Saccharomyces cerevisiae S288C: one gene and its partners. The main gene of each other region encodes a partner of the protein of the gene in region 2 in a complex. Each region holds a gene or a part of one and is shown on either strand. Other genes may lie near its edges. A codon is read from its position in the direction of its gene.

The links.
Region 1: the proteins of VID24 (region 2) and VID28 are in contact, whole or in part, in a cryo-EM structure (PDB 7WUG), measured with the Saccharomyces cerevisiae proteins. Residues at the interface, in NP_009663.1 of Saccharomyces cerevisiae: Lys92 (codon at 2,281), Lys93 (codon at 2,284), Tyr94 (codon at 2,287), Ile95 (codon at 2,290), Asp98 (codon at 2,299), Ser100 (codon at 2,305), Pro101 (codon at 2,308), Tyr102 (codon at 2,311), Ser103 (codon at 2,314), Glu105 (codon at 2,320), Asn106 (codon at 2,323), Pro107 (codon at 2,326), Val108 (codon at 2,329), Ile109 (codon at 2,332), Val110 (codon at 2,335), Thr111 (codon at 2,338), Ser113 (codon at 2,344), Tyr114 (codon at 2,347), Asn115 (codon at 2,350), Thr117 (codon at 2,356), Thr120 (codon at 2,365), Asn121 (codon at 2,368), Pro125 (codon at 2,380), Arg126 (codon at 2,383), Lys147 (codon at 2,446), Thr148 (codon at 2,449), Asp150 (codon at 2,455), Pro152 (codon at 2,461), Asp155 (codon at 2,470), Cys156 (codon at 2,473); in NP_012247.3 of Saccharomyces cerevisiae: Thr316 (codon at 677), Asp318 (codon at 671), Trp321 (codon at 662), Glu362 (codon at 539), Ile363 (codon at 536), Thr364 (codon at 533), Pro365 (codon at 530), Met366 (codon at 527), Asn367 (codon at 524), Asn368 (codon at 521), Thr372 (codon at 509), Ser417 (codon at 374), Asp418 (codon at 371), Glu419 (codon at 368), Lys420 (codon at 365), Leu423 (codon at 356), Lys485 (codon at 170), Ser488 (codon at 161), Arg489 (codon at 158), Val491 (codon at 152), Ser492 (codon at 149), Leu494 (codon at 143), Arg495 (codon at 140), Thr496 (codon at 137), Gly541, Cys544, Asn545, Val548, Phe550, Trp606.
Region 3: the proteins of VID24 (region 2) and GID12 are in contact, whole or in part, in a cryo-EM structure (PDB 7WUG), measured with the Saccharomyces cerevisiae proteins. Residues at the interface, in NP_009663.1 of Saccharomyces cerevisiae: Thr130 (codon at 2,395), Gly131 (codon at 2,398), Tyr132 (codon at 2,401), Tyr137 (codon at 2,416), Lys138 (codon at 2,419), Arg139 (codon at 2,422), Gln141 (codon at 2,428), Arg170 (codon at 2,515), Gly171 (codon at 2,518), Leu172 (codon at 2,521), Thr173 (codon at 2,524), Asn174 (codon at 2,527), Gln175 (codon at 2,530), His176 (codon at 2,533), Ile221 (codon at 2,668), Asn222 (codon at 2,671), Phe223 (codon at 2,674), Pro224 (codon at 2,677), Arg227 (codon at 2,686), Gln228 (codon at 2,689), Arg286 (codon at 2,863), Thr324 (codon at 2,977), Asn326 (codon at 2,983), Gln328 (codon at 2,989), Phe330 (codon at 2,995), Lys338 (codon at 3,019), Phe339 (codon at 3,022), Gln341 (codon at 3,028), Glu343 (codon at 3,034), Leu344 (codon at 3,037); in NP_010105.1 of Saccharomyces cerevisiae: Cys14 (codon at 2,059), Asn15 (codon at 2,062), Thr16 (codon at 2,065), Lys17 (codon at 2,068), Asn48 (codon at 2,161), Asn50 (codon at 2,167), Gln52 (codon at 2,173), Asp125 (codon at 2,392), Met127 (codon at 2,398), Cys143 (codon at 2,446), Arg248 (codon at 2,761), Gly249 (codon at 2,764), Ile250 (codon at 2,767), Ser251 (codon at 2,770), Ser267 (codon at 2,818), Pro268 (codon at 2,821), Arg269 (codon at 2,824), Arg436 (codon at 3,325), Arg437 (codon at 3,328), Asn438 (codon at 3,331), Phe440 (codon at 3,337), His491 (codon at 3,490), Phe492 (codon at 3,493), Asn515 (codon at 3,562), Gly552, Asn553, Cys555, Ser556, Lys558, Thr573.

The regions. Positions count from the first base shown.
Region 1 is NC_001141.2:319,344-322,976, forward strand, and holds the start of VID28 (glucose-induced degradation complex subunit VID28), read right to left. Parts: upstream 1,623-3,633; coding exon 1-1,622. Other genes in the region: SNL1 (Snl1p), read left to right, coding at 2,111-2,590; aspartyl protease BAR1, read left to right, coding at 2,999-3,633. UniProt on the Saccharomyces cerevisiae protein: Component of the GID E3 ligase complex recruiting N termini and catalyzing ubiquitination of proteins targeted for degradation.
Region 2 is NC_001134.8:450,355-453,976, reverse strand, and holds VID24 (glucose-induced degradation complex subunit VID24), read left to right. Parts: upstream 1-2,007; coding exon 2,008-3,096; downstream 3,097-3,622. Other genes in the region: IML3 (Iml3p), read left to right, coding at 1-184; SND3 (Snd3p), read right to left, coding at 753-1,319; YMC2 (organic acid transporter), read right to left, coding at 3,321-3,622. UniProt on the Saccharomyces cerevisiae protein: Substrate-recognition component of the GID E3 ligase complex recruiting N termini and catalyzing ubiquitination of proteins targeted for degradation.
Region 3 is NC_001136.10:140,078-143,710, forward strand, and holds the start of GID12 (Gid12p), read left to right. Parts: upstream 1-2,019; coding exon 2,020-3,633. Other genes in the region: DLD2 (D-lactate dehydrogenase), read left to right, coding at 1-1,037; YDL177C (uncharacterized protein), read right to left, coding at 1,132-1,644. UniProt on the Saccharomyces cerevisiae protein: Regulator of the GID E3 ligase complex. Modulates both assembly of the substrate receptor GID4 into the GID E3 ligase complex and its activity toward its substrates.

The DNA of each region.
Region 1 (3,633 bases), on a different chromosome or scaffold from region 2:
CCCAGAGTAATGCCCATAATCATAATTTCCGGTTTCATAAAATCTTGTCCAGCAAAATAGCATTCCTTGGTCAACGTATATGTTTTACTTAGTATCTGTAAAAGCAGCTGTGCAATTTTATTTCTCTTCAACGTCGTCCTAAGCGCTGAAACACTTCTCGAGAATGATTTCAACAATAGTAACCAAGCTGCCACGAAATCGTGATCATATATTGGGGGTAAACACATAGAATGACTTTCCGTAGTTGTTTCCTTTATCTCATCTTTCAAAGATATAAAATCCTGTATCAAAGTAATGTGGGATTCCAACCCGTATTCTAAATGATTCAACAACAATGTGTCATTCAACAGTAAAAGACGGTATTTTTCGTCCGATGCTGCAAATGACGCACATATTTTAATGAATTTTGTAGTTGTTTTCAAAGTAGCTTCATTGTGTTGTGGTAGAGAAAGACACTGCGCAAAACGGGATAGAATGCAAAATATAACGTTTGTATGAGCTAGCGTGGTGAGCACAGGATTATTCATTGGAGTAATTTCATTATACAACACAATCAATGAATCCAGCATATCGAATGGATCAAACCACCAAGGCAACGGGTCATAATTAAATGACTTAACTAAATAGGGTAGTATTTTCTCGAGTGTACGCGTATCTTCCCATTTCTTATCCTCTGTAAAGTACGGTTGTAACAAAAACTTCAGGGCCACGCACCTAATGTTAACGTCATTACTCTTCAAAAGACCCAGAACGAACATCTTGAACGTCGCATCATTCCGCAGTTTCCTATCACCCGGTATCATATAATGATATCTTAGATATAGAAGGAGTGCCAATGAGAGTAAACTAGAATCATACATGTTTGAGATATTGATTTTTTTAGGTATGGCACGGGTGCAGTCGACCCCTTTATTGTCAAACGGATCGTTCTTGACGCTGGATGGTGACGCTGGCCTGGATACTTTTAGCCTCACTATATACTTGAGGCTTATTTGGTCCAAGTACTTCGATGATATTTTAACTATTATGTGTTCAAGGGATTCTGCCATTTTAAAATCTTGGTAGTGTGAAGTTTCTGTCACTTCTCTCTCTTCCTCCATAAACTTGCTCTTGTTGAAGTCGCTGCAATTTTTCTCGTCCACAAGTAAAAACAACTTCAATAATTCAATAATCGTGACCACCTCATCAATTTTACATTTGCTCCTCAAAAATTTATGGTTGACTAACTGGATGAACCCGTTCTGGAGGTATTGCAAGTCTGGGAATCCGCAATTTGGATAAACTCCTGCACACAAATTTAGAAGCTTTATGTACTTATAGTTTGTCGAAGAATTATTTTTAGTAAAACTGCTTGCCAAACTCATGGACTTATAGATTGCGGACACAATATCAAAGTAATATGTGCCTACTATATCCCTTTGTTGCGGTTCTAGATGTAAAAGGGTATATAGCAGATCTAATTTCGCATTTTTTAACTCTACACCGTCACTTTGCTCAATGGACAACAAACATTGAAAAATCTGGCACTTTGGAGCCAAAAAGTAATCTACCTTAGCCAACTGGTCTCCCACCAGGGAATTACTAATCTTTTTGAGATTCTCTAGGGAATAAGCCACCGTCATAGTGTAACTGTAATATATCACCAATCTAACACGAGGGCAATGATACAGGAAAACTGCAAGTTTCCGCCATGAAGATCATCCTCTTAGGCCGCAGTTTGTAGTGATATCCCTATAAAACGTATTATAATCTAATTAGTTTAGTTCGCGCCCCTTCAGTCTAATCACTTATAACGGATGACGAATATAAGGTCAAAAGCTTCATACACAAGCAAAACCATTTATGCTACCTGCAATTCAATCGGCAAGCATGCTTTTTCAAGAGCGCATATGGACTTGAAGGAGAGCCATAGCTAGAGGGGTTTTTAAATGGAAGACTTGTGCTCATCTAATTCAATTTGCCTTTACTATCATTTGGTCGATATTGAAAAAAAATATCGCGAACTGACATAACCAGTAGAAAAAAAGATGGAATCAGCTCTGTAGTGCTGGTTTCAATCCTGTTTGTTGGTGAAAAAATAGCACCAGAAGGGCAATTGTACGTTTCCGTAATGTCGCACAACGCAATGGAACATTGGAAGAGCAAGCTGAGCAAAACAAGTACCTCGACGTACGTCCTCTTGGCCGTGATTGCTGTTGTATTTTTGGTTACAATCAGAAGACCCAATGGCAGCAAGGGAAAAAGCAGTAAAAAGAGGGCTTCTAAAAAGAACAAGAAAGGTAAGAATCAGTTTGAAAAAGCGCCGGTTCCTCTGACTCTAGAAGAACAAATTGACAATGTGTCGTTGAGATACGGCAACGAGTTGGAAGGTCGTAGCAAGGATCTAATAAACAGATTTGATGTGGAAGATGAAAAGGACATCTACGAGCGTAACTATTGCAACGAAATGCTTTTGAAGTTGCTGATTGAGTTAGACAGTATCGATTTGATTAACGTGGATGAGTCCTTAAGAAGGCCGTTGAAGGAAAAAAGGAAAGGCGTCATAAAGGAAATTCAGGCTATGTTAAAAAGTTTGGACTCTCTTAAATAAGTTTGTATTTTTAGTTTATAGATAACGGCTCTTGCCGAATTCATAGGCTGCACTCATTCCGGTACGGTACACATTTGTTGCATTTATTATATTAGAGATGCGTTGTCCCTGTTTTTCTACCTCCGACATCATGCTGAAACATGGCATGTAATTACCGTAAAAGGAAATTACATGGCGAGTGTCACATAATAGCGACAATAACATGTATACACAGCCAGCTATTCTGAAACACACCACATTATAGTTATTGAATGTGTGTGTTTTTTGATAACAGTATAAAAGTGAAGAGAAAGCACGTCGAGCCTTGTCATGATGAATTCTTTAATGATCTTCGCGTGATTTAATTCTAGTGGTTCGTATCGCCTAAAATCATACCAAAATAAAAAGAGTGTCTAGAAGGGTCATATAATGTCTGCAATTAATCATCTTTGTTTGAAACTTATTTTGGCGAGTTTCGCGATTATTAACACCATTACTGCTTTAACAAACGATGGCACTGGTCACTTAGAATTCCTTTTACAACACGAAGAGGAGATGTATTACGCAACAACCTTAGATATAGGTACACCGTCCCAAAGTCTGACAGTGTTGTTTGATACCGGATCTGCCGATTTTTGGGTTATGGATTCTAGCAATCCCTTCTGCTTACCAAATTCAAATACGTCATCCTATTCAAACGCAACTTATAATGGCGAAGAAGTTAAGCCTTCAATTGATTGCAGGTCTATGAGTACTTATAATGAGCATAGATCTTCCACCTACCAATATCTGGAAAATGGTAGGTTTTACATCACATATGCTGACGGAACATTTGCTGACGGTAGTTGGGGGACGGAAACTGTATCAATTAATGGAATTGACATCCCCAATATCCAGTTCGGAGTTGCCAAGTATGCTACGACACCCGTTAGTGGTGTTCTTGGAATTGGGTTTCCTAGAAGAGAGTCCGTTAAGGGCTATGAAGGTGCTCCTAATGAATATTATCCTAATTTTCCTCAGATTTTAAAAAGTGAAAAAATAATCGATGTGGTCGCGTATTCGCT
Region 2 (3,622 bases):
CGATGCAATTGTACCCTACATTTATAATGAAACGGGGATGGCGGTGGAAAGATTACCGTTGACTTCCGTCATATTGGCAGGGCACACGAAAATAATGAGAGAATCCATTGTCACTTCAACACGAAGTCTCAGGAACAGAGTTCTAGCAGTTGTACTCCAATCGATTCAGTTTACCAGCGAGTAACACTATAAAGAATATTCACCAAGATACAATAAAAAACCACAGCTCTACCTTTTTTGTACATATGAACCTGAAGACCTTCATGAATCATCGTCATTATCAGTAATATCCGGTTCGTCATATCTGCAATGACACCCCACAAAATCCCAGAGACATTACAATTTAGTGTAGAGATCCCGACACAACGGGCCAATGGCTGCTATGAACTAATGTTCACATAGTTTAATTTTGTTGAACTTTCAGTATATATTTGCATAAAATCATATAGACGAGCGCACTTAGCGGAAAGTGCGGCAGTCATACAAGCACGAGGAAAAAGAGGACACGACTCATTTTTCTTTACATGATAAGCCCAACAAAATGAAAACAAATAGAGTTCCTTGTTTTCATTTCATCTAATCAAGAAAAAAAAAGCAATTCTATGGCGATGTAGGAAAATAGACACAATTCGTCTAGCTTTATCTTATTTCATTCTATTTTTCTTATAACACTGCAGCAACTGCGTAGAGAAAAAAATGAATATATTTTTACATAAAAACTAGGAAAAAAAAATACTTCGCTTTTGATCGAATCATTCAGCCTTAACACCAGCGTTACCGGCTCTTTCAGCTTCTTCGATAGATTTCTTGTCGGTCTTTGGACCAGTTTGACCCATACCACCAAACAAAGATGGAGCCTTGAATGGTCTCTTCAAATCGCCGGTTGCAGGCTTACCGAAGAGGTGAATTTTCACTTCGTTGTGTTCCAAAGCGCTTTTCACTGGAGAAATGGATTGCATGAACAATGGGTTGGTGTATTTCAAGTACAAATGCATGAAACCCATCATAGCCATACCAGTGTAGATAGACTTGATAGCACTGTCTATTTCCTTCAAATCGTAGTCTCTGACGGTAGTAACTTGCAGCTTCTCACCTTCGCCGGACATAGCATTACCAGGTTCGACGTACTTCATGGTAGTCATGTCGTTTTTAGCAACAATTCTCTTTCTGGCCATTTGGTAGATGATCCAAGAGATACCGATGGAAGAACAGTATAAAATTCTAATGTACATGATGATGGTTGGGTCCTCCATGTCAATGCGACGGGAGAGTTGCATCATGACCAACATGATGATGATGTTACTGACTTGAGGATTCATGGCGGGCTGCTCGGTTCTCTTGTGCTGTGTTATACTGTTATAGTTTCTAGCTTCTAATGTAAGATAACAGTGAGCGTTCTTATATGTATATCGAATGAAAGAGCAAGGCAACTACATTTTATAAGCGTTTCGGTTTTGGCGCGTTTGGCCACCGGCCGCCAAAAAAGAAAGAAAAAGAGAAGGCAGTGGCAAACGTCGAAGATATGAAAAAAAAAAAAAAAAGAATTATGGGCGTGCGATCCGTGTAAAGTGATGTTCTTCTTCTTTCATAATTTCAGCCGTTCAGAACGATATCTAAGGCAGGCGAGGGATTATCCGATTTGTTCCGGTGACCCCTCCCCCACCCCGCGGGGCAGGCGGGTTTTAATTTTCGTTTTTTTTTTCTTTTCCGGAAAAACTCGCAGGGCAAAAGAAACGGAGGGAGGTGTGCGGCTTTCTCTAGTGTAATTGCCTGTTATAATGACAAACCGCGAGGATAATAGCGGTTTATTTCTTTTTCTGCATACCATATCATTTTCTTTTTCTGCATCTTCTACAAAAGTTGAAATTTATATATACAGTCTTTTTGACTTTCAACTCATCCCGGATTTTGGTTTTCTTCGTCTTGGAAGATTAGTTCACTTTCTTTTCTGTTCTATCATTTGTGGCGTCTTGTGCATGACACCAACACATATCGCAAGCTTGAGTCATGATCAATAATCCTAAGGTAGACAGTGTAGCGGAGAAACCCAAAGCTGTGACATCAAAGCAGTCGGAGCAAGCGGCTTCGCCAGAACCAACACCAGCCCCCCCTGTTTCTAGAAATCAGTATCCGATCACGTTCAACTTGACTTCAACCGCACCCTTTCATCTTCATGACCGTCATCGCTACTTACAAGAGCAAGATCTTTACAAGTGCGCTTCTAGGGATTCGTTGTCTTCCCTGCAGCAACTCGCCCATACACCTAATGGGTCGACAAGGAAGAAATATATTGTTGAGGACCAATCTCCCTATAGTTCGGAAAATCCAGTCATTGTGACCTCTTCCTATAACCATACGGTTTGCACAAACTACTTAAGACCAAGAATGCAGTTTACAGGGTACCAGATATCAGGATACAAACGCTATCAGGTAACAGTTAACTTAAAGACTGTAGATTTGCCAAAGAAAGATTGCACGTCGCTGTCCCCTCATTTATCTGGATTTTTGTCGATAAGAGGACTCACGAACCAACACCCGGAAATCAGTACATATTTTGAAGCCTACGCGGTAAACCACAAGGAATTAGGGTTCTTGTCCTCTAGCTGGAAAGATGAACCTGTTTTAAACGAATTCAAAGCCACAGACCAAACAGACTTAGAACACTGGATAAATTTCCCCTCCTTTAGACAGCTTTTCCTGATGAGCCAAAAAAACGGTCTCAACTCAACTGACGACAATGGCACTACAAATGCAGCCAAGAAGTTGCCTCCACAGCAGCTTCCTACTACACCAAGCGCAGACGCTGGTAACATATCAAGAATTTTTAGCCAAGAGAAACAATTTGACAACTACTTGAACGAACGGTTTATATTTATGAAATGGAAGGAAAAATTTTTGGTACCAGATGCCCTATTAATGGAAGGTGTAGACGGCGCATCTTATGATGGGTTTTATTACATTGTCCATGATCAAGTTACCGGGAACATTCAAGGGTTTTACTATCATCAAGATGCTGAAAAGTTCCAACAGCTGGAATTAGTACCATCTTTGAAAAATAAAGTCGAGTCCAGTGATTGTTCTTTTGAGTTTGCTTGATGTGTGATATATTCGTTTTTACCTGCATACCCTTTTCTCTTCACTAACTTTAGATTTTTTTTTATGCATATTCCCTCATCATATATTCTGTAACGATCGATATAATTTCTTAGTTTGACACCACATAGATGATAATCACTAAAAGACTGTACACTTTTCTATTTGGTATGATAACAGCATGTCTATGTCTATATCTATAAAACGATGTTTTCATATATACTCTCCTACTCTTCCCCCAGAAATCTCATGACTAATTCAAACGTCAGGAATGTCGCACCATTAACGGGCGCGGACCTAACCATTGTTGGCCCAAACCCTTTGAAAAAGGCTCTGATACCTTCTTTTGCATAAATGGTCTTTGCTACGTAAGAAATGGAATTCTTGTATTTAGGTTTTCGTAAATCATCGTTTTGTATAATGGATTTCACAACGTCCAATGGGTATACTGTCAACCACAACATTGTCCCGGAAAATGCACCAAATAAGCATAATTTCCAAGGAGGAATTTCGTTTCTTGTTAGTCCCG
Region 3 (3,633 bases), on a different chromosome or scaffold from region 2:
AAAATTATATGTTTCCGTTGGATCTGGGAGCTAAAGGTTCCTGCCATGTTGGTGGCGTGGTTGCAACCAACGCTGGAGGACTAAGGTTATTGCGTTATGGCTCACTACATGGAAGCGTTTTAGGCTTAGAGGTGGTAATGCCCAATGGTCAAATTGTTAATAGCATGCATTCCATGAGAAAAGACAACACCGGTTATGATCTGAAACAGCTGTTCATTGGCTCAGAAGGTACTATCGGTATCATCACTGGTGTTTCAATCTTGACTGTTCCTAAGCCAAAAGCGTTTAATGTATCTTACTTGTCTGTTGAAAGTTTTGAAGACGTTCAAAAAGTCTTCGTCAGAGCCAGGCAAGAATTATCTGAGATTTTATCCGCTTTTGAATTTATGGATGCTAAATCTCAAGTATTGGCCAAGAGCCAATTGAAGGATGCTGCCTTCCCTTTGGAGGATGAGCATCCATTTTATATTCTTATCGAAACGTCAGGGTCAAACAAAGATCACGATGATTCCAAACTTGAAACATTTTTAGAAAACGTCATGGAAGAGGGCATAGTAACGGATGGTGTAGTGGCACAAGATGAAACCGAACTCCAAAACTTGTGGAAGTGGAGAGAAATGATTCCAGAGGCAAGTCAAGCTAATGGTGGTGTTTACAAATACGATGTTTCTTTACCACTAAAGGACCTATATTCTTTGGTTGAAGCCACTAATGCAAGACTTTCTGAAGCTGAATTAGTGGGTGATTCGCCCAAACCAGTGGTGGGCGCCATTGGATACGGTCACGTGGGTGATGGTAATCTACACTTAAATGTTGCAGTTAGAGAGTACAACAAGAACATTGAAAAGACTTTGGAACCATTTGTCTACGAGTTTGTTTCCTCAAAACATGGTTCCGTTAGTGCCGAACATGGGCTAGGTTTCCAAAAGAAAAATTACATTGGCTATTCTAAGAGCCCGGAAGAGGTCAAGATGATGAAGGATTTGAAGGTTCATTATGATCCTAATGGAATTTTAAACCCTTACAAATACATTTGAAAATAAAATGCCAAGTTTTATAGTTATCTACATATGTATATATTTATCAATATTATATTCTACAATTGTGTATATTATATGGTAAGGGTGATATTTAAGGAAGAAATCCACCCTTCTTTAAGGTTTCCACTGCACATGTTGAAATGTGTCTGAATCTTGATGAGCCCAAAGGCGTGCCACCATACCATCTGGTCACTATTACCAAGACGTTGAATATGTTTGCTCTTTCAAGTAAGGTCAATAAACGCTGTCCAGCACCAGCTTCGCCACAGTCAGCACATCCTTGCTCAATGTTCTTTGGCTGCACCGTTATGTTCCTTGACTTGTTAACATGACTATTATTACTCTTATTTGCTTTATTGCCCTTCTTTTTCTGCTCTTGTTGTAAGTGCAAATTATTTGATACCTCGGCCGTTCTCCAGGCATACATGTGCATGTGGGATGCCTTGGAGACGCTTTTGTTGTTTTGCGTTAGTTCTTGGAGTATGGAGGGTATATCCTTTTGATTTTGTAATGGGCAACATCTTGCTTGAAATTTCGATTTTCTATCAACTAAAACTTCTGATTCATTCCATATTTTCACTAGCTTACCAACATTCTTACTCATTTCTCCAAAAAATAGTAATACCAAACATCAATACCTATCTAAGAATCTGTATAATGTCTTTTCTAAAGGTTTTTTACAGCTGATGATTGATGCATGACTTATTTCCACAGTGCCGTATTTTCTCAGTTGCCGTTTTGGGTCTGCTTTTCACAATGCGAAGCTTTGTTGAAAAGAGCTCTAAGGTCAAAAACAATAGTAAGCTGATCGGTATTAAGTACTTGCCTTCCTGAAAATTGCTAACAAACATCCAAATATACCTTCCCCATAGTTGAATGGCATCTAATAGAACAAAACCAGGTTAAGATAGGTTTTACTTTGAGTTGTTAAATACACGCAGAAAGCGTCTTTCCACATAATCTGAACATTTTGTTATCGATGGCTACTGGCAGGATTCAATTTGCTGTTTCTACTCCCTGCAATACTAAGGGTAAACCGTCTGGTTATAGGTTATTTGAATTTAAAAACGATCGATTAGCACTGGTCCCATCAGAAAGAGGTTGTACAAAAGTAGATGTGAATGCAAATATACAAGCGTTTTGTTATTTAAGGCCTAATGGTAGAGACACGTCAATATCTCCAGACGCAACGCATATTTTGGACTCATGTGATTACATGGTGCTGGCTAAATCCAACGGATTCATTGAAATCATAAGCAACTATCAATACAAGATAAAAAATGGCCTGCGATTAGCGCCCTCTTATATCCTTAGATGTACTCCGGAAGATTTCGAATCCAATTTTTTTAGTGACTATATGATCGCTGGTCTTGAATATAGTCAAGGTTTATTATATTGTTGTATGTGCTCCGGTCGAATATATGTCTTTGTAATGAACCTTCCCACTGATTACATTCAGTATAAGAACATGTACAACCCCATGTTTCCAGATTGCTTTTTCAAAGTACATCACGATAATAATACAACACATTCTTCAGAAGAAGAAAAATTATTTGAAGGTAGTACGCGGTACACTGGAAGGTCATGCTCTAAGCATATCTGCTACTTCCTTTTGCCTATAGAACCATCCCATTTAAGATCGTCACCCGTGGTATCTTCGTTTTGCAATATGTATCAAGGCCTGCCCATATATAGGCCTTCGATGTATTTACATATAGAACGAGGTATTTCCACATTCCATATAAATCCATTAGACCGGTTTTGTTTCATGACAGTATCGCCACGATCACCACTATTTATAAGGAAAATAATTTTACCATTGACTTATGTTACATTTTTAAGCACCTTTATCAGCCTAAAGAACAGTATACAGGGAGATACATGCGGTGAGATACTTTCGTGGGACAACGTAGCGCAACAAAATGGATTTGGTTCTTTGTTCAGCTGGATTAGTAACAAGTTTACATTCGATACGGATATTATAAATTCAACCATTTGGGATGATATTGTAAAATATTCTGGAACAGGAATGCTGGATTCAGGAATCGTCTGGAAACAGCGTCAAGGTCACGCTAAAGATGACATATATGAGTTATTCCACACTCAAGATATGCTGGGAAGTAGTCGCCGAAATTCTTCATTCAGTACTGCTAGCAGCGAACCGAGACCGCTGAGTCGAAGAAGGAGAGAATCTTTTCAAGCCTTAACTAGAGACGCTTTTAGAGAAAGAATGGATGTACCCTGTTCAACGAAGTGGGAATTAGATTCTTTTATCCGAGGATTAAGAAGGAATACATTTATGGTAGATTTTGAAATTGTTGAAAAGATTTCTCATAGAAATGGAAATGATGGGGTGAATGAAGATGATAACACTACAGATGAAAGTGATGAAACAATGACTTCTTTTCTAACAGATAATTACAAAAAGATGGACATTGTGTGCATCGATCATTTCGTCACGTTGAGTGCATTCCGACCTCGGTACTATGATGAACCAATAATTAAAATCGATTCATTATCGAACAAAAATGGCTCTGAAAATGGAACTAATGAAGAAGAGTGGGCAGAAAGTCAAATGAAGGTGGATGGCCAA